2 linked regions of the Canis lupus familiaris genome follow. The protein of the gene in region 1 purifies or fractionates together with the protein of each later gene. This does not show direct contact. Links are inferred from orthologs where the notes say so. Each region holds a gene or a part of one and is shown in the gene's direction. Other genes may lie near its edges.

Region 1 (4,226 bases):
CCCGACTGTTTATAGTCCATGAAATAACTATATAAAGCAGGCAAATATGAGAAATTTTCAATATGCTCAAGAATACTTCCATCTGACCAAAATTAATTAGAATCCAATTCCTTCCAAAGCTAGGAGTGAAGGCAGATGTGGCTTTTCAACCCTGCTCTTGCTCAGATTGTTGGTTGAGGGTGCCATAAAAGAGAAAGTGGCCATCAGAGGGTTATTTTTTCATTCCAGGCATTGGGTAATTCGGTAAGGCCTTCGTGTGTGTGTGTGTGTGTGTGTGTGTGTGTGGCTTCTCCAATAGCAAAGAAGGGATGGGATGGGAGAGGTGGGCGGGTAGGGCTTGTCCTCAGGTGCATCTGTGTGTACATTATGTATACATGTGTGTGTGACCAGGGTTGGAGAGAAAGTGCAAGTCAGCACATTTCTGAGTACATCTCTTTGTTTCTTTATATAGGGGCCAGACAAGGGCACACCTGAGTGTGTAGAATGTTCCAGCTGTACCACTGACAGCCTCTCGGAACCTTCCGGGTCTCAATATCCACATCTAAGAAGAGGGATAATATGGTGCCTGGGATTTTTAAAAATACTCCAGCACAGCACAACAAGAGGTATTGGGAGTATAGAAGAACCCAGGTTGGTTGTGAGCTGATCATTGTTGAAACTGCACGATGGGGACTTGGGAGTTTATCATTTTTCTCTACTTGGGGGCCCATTTGCAAATTGTCATCATAATCCACGTTTTAAAATAAAGACAGGAAAGAATAACGGAACCTTCCTCATAGAGTTACTGTGAACACCAGTGAAGATATGGCAAGAGCTGAGCAGCAGCTTATGGGGTGGCGGGCACCCAGCAGAGCCCCTGGTTGGCAAGTTCTTGCTCTCTCCGTAGGCCAATGGCAGCAAGTGCCTACAAGTAAGGGAATCCCTGGCCCCCCGGCAAACTCCTCCCCTTTTCTCTCTGCCCTCCACGGCCCCTCCCTCCGAGGAAACGCAGGATTGGGGCCCAGCAGGTGTGGGGTTAAGCCTGTTGCGGGGGGGGCGGGGGGGGGGGGCAGGAACAGCAGCAGCAGTGGCAGCAGAGGTGGTGGCAGGCCTGGCCCCGGGCCAGCTGGCCGGGAGCCCCAGGAGGCAGAGAGGGCGGAGGAAGGGGAGGAAGAGGGGAAGGAGGAGGAGGAGAGGAGCAGTCAGCAGGCCCGAGGAGGCAGGACTTCCTGGTGTGGGGGTTGTCAACAGCCCAGAAAGAGAAAGGCAGAGAGACCGGAGAGAAGAGCCGAGGAGCGGAGAGAGACCCAGCGGTTCCACGCGGAGGAGATTTGAGAGACCTGCTCGCCCCAGCCACCTAGGCGGCTCCACCTGGAGGATCGGGGTGGGGGCAGAGCCGCCTCTTCCCTCACCAGTCCCGGGACCCTTGGGGCTTCGGAGGCCGCGCCTGGGCTCCACCAAGGAGGCGGGGGTCCCTTCTTTTCTGGCGAGCAAACTTTTTACGAAGATGCCTTGCGGGGCGAAGTGCGGCCCCCGAAGAGAAGCGGACAGCCCCTGATCGCCGCCGCGCCCCCCGCGGGAAGGACAGCCCGACATCGTAGGCTCCGGGACCCCCGGCCCAGCTCGGTGGCCGAGGCCGAGAGGTAGGGCTCTGGGCTGGCTGGGCGGGGCGCTGGGGCAGCGGGGCAGGGCCTGCCCGGGATCGGGGAGCTGGGGTGCGGGCAGCCTGGACACTCGGCAGAGGCCTCCCGGCGGCGGGGCCGACCGAGGAGCTGCTTCACCCCTGCTCGTCCAAGGCCCTGGAGCCCCCTCCTGCTGTCGGGCGACTCGGTCCTGTGAGTCTGAATCCCAGGCAAGAAATGCCCAACTTTGGTCTGGGCCGCCCCTTCCTACTCTGTGGGACCGCTGGGATCTCCTGGTCTCAATCGTCTCTGCCAGTCTCTTTGTCTCTGGGTCTCTGGTGGTTTCCCCTTCCTCCCCCATCCTGCTCCCCAGAGAGGAAGCCCCAGAGGTGGCCTGCCCACTGCTTTCTCACACACACACACACACACACACACTCTCTCTCTCTCTCTCTCTCTTTCCAGTTTGCAAACTCAGCTCTGGAGTTGGGCAGCGCCAGGGGCAGGAAAAACCTGCCCCTGCCCCTGCCCCCACCTCCTGCCACCTCCCCTGCCCTGTGCTCCCTTTACCAGCCAAGTACCCCCAGTTCCTGCAAAGCCCTCCTGCCATGTCGGACCCAGATGTCCCCAGGGGCCCTGATGCCCCCGCCATGTGGCCCCCCTGTTCCAGGGGTGCCTGAGCCCCTGGAGGAGCCCCAGCTGCACCCCCTGCCCACCTTGGCCGAGTCCTGAGCCCCAGGGACCATGAGTGGGGGCAAGAAGAAGAGTAGTTTTCAAATCACCAGCGTCACCACGGACTATGAGGGCCCAGGGAGCCCAGGGTCTTCAGAGCCCCCTGCCCTGCCGGGCCCCACCGCGCCCCCACCCCGTCTGCCTAACGGGGAGCCCAGCCCCGAGCCAGGGGGCAAAAGCACCCCCCGGAACGGCTCCCCACCACCTGGGGCCCCCGCCTCCCGTTTCCGGGTGGTAAAGCTGCCCCATGGCCTGGGAGAGCCTTATCGTCGAGGCCGTTGGACGTGTGTGGATGTTTACGAGAGAGACCTGGAGACCCCTGGCTTCAGCCGGCTCCTGGAAGGAGTTCGAGGGGCCTCGGGGGGCACTGGGGGCCGATCTTTGGATTCCAGGTTGGAGCTGGCCAGCTTGGGCCTGGGTGCCCCAACCCCGCAGCCAGGCCTGTCTCAGGGCCCCACCTCCTGGCTCCGGCCGCCCCCTACCTCCCCTGGACCTCAGGCCCGCTCCTTAACCCGGGGGCTGGGCCAGCTGGCAGTACCTGGTAAAGCCAAGGTGGAGACACCCCCTCTGTCAGCCTCCCCACCCCAGCAGCGTCCCCCAGAGCCCAGGACAGGGGATAGCGCCGGCCCCTCCCGGGCTGCCACGCCCCTGCCCTCCCTGAGGGTGGAAGTGGAGGCTGGGGGCTCAGCAACAGGGACCCCTCCACTATCCCGATCAAAGGATGGAGCCCTGCGGCTGAGGATGGAGTTGGTTGCTCCAGAGGAGATGGGGCAGGTAAGAGCTGGGTTCTGGGGTCAGGGAGACACCTGAGGGGTGGTGCTTGTTCATCTGGGCCTGGGCCTAACCTCCAGCTTGGGCCTCCCTGCCTCCACCTCCTTACCACCCTCTCCCCATTCCAACAACACGTGTCTGTCCCTCTTTTCTCTTCTTGCCCTCTTCCTGGGAAGTAGTCCATCCTCCTCTTCATGCAGCCTTGTTTTCTTTCTCAGGCTCCCTCTTCCCCTATATCCTGCACCTTCTTTCTTTCTCTAAGCCTTTGTTACCTTTGGCCTCCATCTCTGTTTCCTTATAGCTTAGTGCTGTCTCGCCATCACAGAGATGTCGGCTTCACACTTTGGCCCTCACCTTCTGTCTTGGTTTCACCCCTTCTGGCTTCAGGCATGGGGGATGGAGGTCCCAGATGGGGGTAGGTGCTTGGGCCTCTGGGAGAGGAGCTGTCCAGGTTGGTGGGGAGGGGTAAAAAGAAAGTCTCCCTGGCCGCACCACGCACCATTCCAAAGGTGACGGTCTGTCTTCTTATTAGCCACTCATCCCAGCCCCATCTGCAGCTTTGTCCCAAGTCAAATTTCTCCAAGGACGTGATGAACTAGGTGGGATGGAGGGCTTGGCGGTGTGTCCTTTCTGCCCTCAGGCCCCTGTCTCCGCTCCCCTGCATCTAGGCCTCTCCATGATTGATAACTGGGGGTGGCCACCAGGGAGTGGGAGAGAGGCAGGAAGCAGTGGAGAAAGAGTTAAATCCTCTGGTCTTTCTGCTTCCTGTCTCCAAAAGAGGAACAAGTCTGGGCTGGGGGGCAGGATGCCTGGGTCCCTGGGGTGAGGGTGGGCCGCCAGGGATGTGGGGGATGGATGTGTCTGTCCTGAAGGAGAAAATAACACCTTGGACTTCAGGAGCGAGGGCAGGGAGTGTGAGGATGAGAACTTTTCCCCCTTCCTGGCCTTGGGCACAAACCACAGTATAAAAATAACCTGGGACTGGATGTCTGGGCCCTGTCAGGACCGGTCAGGACCGGCTACCCCCACCCCCTCCTGGCCTCAAACTCACATATCTCATGCTGCGCCCCCTACTTTTCTGGAGCTTTCATTAAATTCCTACCCCAGGGGAGAAGATGCTCTTTC
Region 2 (4,273 bases), on another chromosome or scaffold:
GGGGCTAAGGACGTTGGCACAGAGATGCAGTGGGAGTTCAGGGCTGGGGTTGGAGTTTGAGAGAAGGTACATGTGTGTACCAGTTCTCTCCCTAGAAAGAGAGAATGAAGGAGGGGTGAGAACTGAGCTGGTGTGCGACGGGGAGACCATGGGCAGGCAGTGGGGGCTGTGGGGTAAAGGGAGATTTAGAGAATTGTAGAGCATGTGTCCTGTTGACATGGCCACAGGGCCCATGAAGAGCCTCCTGGAGAGAAAGGCGCTGTGCGTCAGGAGGGCCCTCTACTTTAGCCTCCTCCTATGGGGGGGTGTGGGGAGCTATCCAGGGGAGGGGAAGAGAAGGGAGGAATTTGCCATTTCGGATTGTGGAATGGTGAATACCTGCAAGCGAATAGGAAGAACAGAACTACAGGTAGTGGGATGTTTGTGATCCTGAATTAAAAGCGGCTGGTCAGCCTGCTGACCATCCCTCCCCTGCCCGGCCCACGTGTTCATGGGGGGGCGGCGGTCGCTCCAGGAGCAGGGCCTCCCAGATGCCCACCCCAGGTCCCGCCCGCCCGGACCCTCGGCGGCGCCCCACCCTGGCCGGCTGCAGCCCGAAGCCTGGACTCGGAGCCGCCATCGGGGGCTGTGTCTCGGGGTGTGTGGAGCAGGAGCGCGGTGCGGAAGGGGCGCACGGAGAACCTGCGGCTCCTAGAGCTGGGCCCGGGCGTGTCCCGGAGCCCTGACCCGGCCCCACGCAGGTCGCCGGGCGGCCAGGGAGGACCCGACGTGCCCGGCTGCAGGCTGGCACCCAGAGCCCCGAGGTCGGGACCCTGGAGTCCTCTCCCCGCGGCCTGGGGGCTCAGGCTTTCCGCAGGAGCAGGTCCCCAGCGGGAGCACAGGGGCAGGCCGAGGAGGGACAGGCGGGGCGGGCGGCCAGGACAGCCAGGGCGGCGGGCTGGGAGCAGGGTCTGGAGGGGCGAGCCCTCGGGTGGGCGGGGCCTTCCCGGTGGACGGGGCCTCCCGGTGGGCGGAGCCAGCGGCGGGTCCGGCGGGGCCTCCCGTGTGGGCGGGCCCTTCCCGGTGGGCGGGGCCCGGGCTGGGCGCGGCGCGGGCTCGGCCCTCGGCGGGGAAGCTCCCTTAGCGCTCCGGCCCGCAGCGGCGGCTTCTGAGGGGCGGGCGGGCTCCACCCCCGCGGGCCGGGCGCCGGCGCCTCGGATTCCGGGAGCTGGGTGGGGCCCGAGGCGGCGGCCGGCCGCTCAGCTCCCGCTGGGCGTCTGGGCGCAGGGCCAGGGCGGGCGGGGAGCGGCGGCGGCGGCGGCGGCGGCGGCTCTCTCGGAGGGCGGCGGCCTGGGCCGGACGAGCCATGGCGGCCCCGGAGCCAGCGCCCAGGCGGGGCCGGGAGCGGGAGCGGGAGGATGAGAGCGAGGACGAGAGCGACATCCTGGAGGAGAGCCCGTGCGGCCGCTGGCAGAAGCGGCGGGAGCAGGTGGGCCGGGGCGGGGCGGGGGGCGCGGGGGCGCGGGGTCACGGCCCACCTCGCCGAGGGGCGCGGGAGGCCACGCCGGGCCGGGGGCGCCGGGCAAGGAACCTGCCCCCTGGTTAGCGGCCCTTGGACCCCTTTGGCCTGTTCCCACGCTCTCTGGGGGAACCCCAGTTCCCTAAGGTCCACCTCCTTATGCCTCTGCACCAGACCGGCCGCTGGCCCCGTGAAGACCCTCCTGAATCCCCCGGAATCTGCTCCGCGTCCCCAAGCCCAGCCCCCGGAGACCACTGCTGCCCCAGCTTCCCCGGGGGGCCAGGGCCAGCACTCAGCTCGCTCTCCCCTCCAAGGAGTGGGCAGAGACAAGCCCCCACTCTGCTGCCCGACACCCATCACACTCACATCCATCCCCTCCCCCCCAGGTGAACCAGGGGAACATGCCCGGGGTCCAGAGCACCTTCCTGGCCATGGACACAGAGGAGGGGGTGGAGGTGGTGTGGAACGAGTTGCACTTCGCCGACAGGAAGGCCTTCGCAGCCCATGAGGTGAGGCCTGCCCACCCTCGAGCGGCTGTGCCCCCCTCCCTTCTCCCCCGTGACCCCACTCCCCTTCCCAGGAGAAGATCCAGACCATGTTTGAGCAGCTGGTGCTGGTCGACCACCCCAACATTGTCAAGCTGCACAAGTACTGGCTGGATGCCTCAGACGCCTGGGCGCGGGTGAGCCACGGCTCGTCCCAGCACCCGCACACGGAGGGTGGGGTGGGGCCCAGCTGGGGTGGGGGTGGGAGGGACCCACCTGCAGTTGGCGGAGCCCACCCGCCCCGCAGGTCATCTTCATCACGGAGTATGTGTCGTCGGGCAGCCTCAAGCAATTCCTCAAAAAGACCAAGAAAAACCACAAGGCCATGAACGCTCGGGTATGGGGAGTGGGCTGGGACTGCATCAGGGATGTGGGTGAGGGGCAGCTCGGGGAACGGGCTGGGGCCAGTCGGGTGGGAGGTGGGGGTGCAGGGTGGGCACCACAGGCCCAGCCACCTCTCCGCATCCGTCCAATGAAGTCCATCCGCCACCAGGCCTGGAAGCGCTGGTGCACACAGATCCTGTCTGCACTCAGGTGAGGGCCTGGCCTGGTCTCTGCCACCCCCCATGCCCTCGGTGCCCCCGCCCTGATTACACCTGCTCTCCTTTCCCCCTGCAGCTTTCTACATGCCTGCAGCCCCCCCATCATCCACGGGAACCTGACCAGCGATACTATCTTCATACAGCACAACGGCCTCATCAAGATTGGCTCCGGTGCTGGCGGGGTTAGGGGGGGCTGGCGGGGGAGGGGGGCTGCGGGAACCCCTGGGCAGAGGACATCCAGTGCCCCATCACATTGACGCCTACTCTTTCTCCCTGTGGTGGCCGGTGCAGTGTGGCACCGCATCTTCTCCAACGGTGCGTGGGGTCTCAGGGGGTTGGGGGGGCATGGAGAGGTGCAGTCTGCTCATCCTCTGCGCTTTCCACAGCACTCCCAGACGACCTCCGAAGCCCTATACGTGCGGAGCGTGAGGAACTACGGAACCTGCATTTCTTCCCCCCAGAGTACGGCGGTGAGTCCTGGGTCCAGGAGCTCCTGGTGTCACCACATCTTCCCTATCCACTGTGACTTGCCCTCCCCCCTGCAGAGGTTGCCGATGGCACTGCTGTGGACATCTTCTCCTTTGGGATGTGTGCGCTGGAGGTACTAGCCCCGGGGCCTCATGGCCTCCCAGATAGCTCACCCTGCATCTCACCGTGCTGTCTCTTCTCCGTGCCTGACCTGGCCCTGCCTCCCAGATGGCTGTGCTGGAGATCCAAGCCAACGGGGACACCCGGGTCACGGAAGAGGCCATCACTCGTGCCAGGCACTCACTAAGTGACCCCAACATGCGGGTAAGCAGCTTGCCTCACTCCTCCCAACTGGTTCTCAAGGGTTCCATGTGGGGCCATTGTGGTGTTTGGGTCAGGCCTGGAGGTGCAGCCGTCCGTGCCGCTGAGGGGGACGCCAGTCCCACTGCACAAAGGCCTACCTGCGAGGAGGGTCTTTCCTCATGGTGTGTGTTGAGTTTCAGGCCTGAAGGCTCTAAGGGTCCTTCTAAGGAGGGAGAGACTAGACAGATACTCCCTCTGTGAGCCTATTGTTCTGCTGGTTCTGGAGACAGGAAAGAGGCTCCGAGAGGCTCGAGCCCACATCCCTGCCTTGAACCCTCCAGGAAACCAGCTAGAAGCCACGTGACTTATGTTGGGGGCCAGAAAAGGGAGTGTGGAGTGGAAGCCGTGTCCATAGTCTCTCTAGACTATCTGGCTTGACCACATGGCCTCTAGAGATCAGGGTCAGAAGTGATGGGGCCAGGATGGGGCTGGGATGGGACCCGTGAGGCACAAAGCCGGCAAGGCAGCGGAGGATGCAGATGCGTATGTGGGGCAGGGTGGGGCCCCATCAGGGTCATCCCCGGAGTTGGGCCTGAGCTGAGGTGCAATCTGGGGCTGCAGGGCAGGGGCTGGTGTCCCCCACCAGGCAGAGCAGACCTCATCTGTGAACTGCAGATGACGACACCTACTCCCTGTGGTTTTTGTGAGGGTTATGGGAAGTAGAGCATGGAAAGTTCTGGGCCTCGGGCCTGACTGTCCTACTGGTAGAACCAGGTCCTGGCCTCGCTGCTCACAGTATGTGGCTCCCTATGCCCATTCCTGGAAGACTCCCATGAGGACTGGACCCTGGGGATTTGGGGACTTCAGGGGCCTCCTCCTCACACTGTGGAGCTGGAGCAGAGATTCCACCCACTTGA

The links.
Region 2: the proteins of TSC22D4 (region 1) and NRBP2 purify together in Homo sapiens (affinity purification with mass spectrometry; 3 studies listed by BioGRID and IntAct, counting the BioPlex papers as one, with this or other methods). This does not show direct contact. The link is inferred for Canis lupus familiaris from reciprocal best matches to the Homo sapiens genes TSC22D4 and NRBP2.

Annotation. Positions count from the first base shown.
Region 1 is NC_049227.1:9,141,560-9,145,785, forward strand, and holds the start of TSC22D4 (TSC22 domain family protein 4), read left to right. Parts: upstream 1-1,261; 5' UTR 1,262-1,622; intron 1,623-2,063; 5' UTR 2,064-2,342; coding exon 2,343-3,104; intron 3,105-4,226.
Region 2 is NC_049234.1:38,139,743-38,144,015, reverse strand, and holds the start of NRBP2 (nuclear receptor-binding protein 2), read left to right. Parts: upstream 1-1,297; 5' UTR 1,298-1,345; coding exon 1,346-1,468; intron 1,469-1,884; coding exon 1,885-2,007; intron 2,008-2,078; coding exon 2,079-2,180; intron 2,181-2,290; coding exon 2,291-2,380; intron 2,381-2,521; coding exon 2,522-2,577; intron 2,578-2,661; coding exon 2,662-2,756; intron 2,757-2,876; coding exon 2,877-2,900; intron 2,901-2,971; coding exon 2,972-3,055; intron 3,056-3,130; coding exon 3,131-3,186; intron 3,187-3,281; coding exon 3,282-3,377; intron 3,378-4,273. UniProt on the Homo sapiens protein: May regulate apoptosis of neural progenitor cells during their differentiation.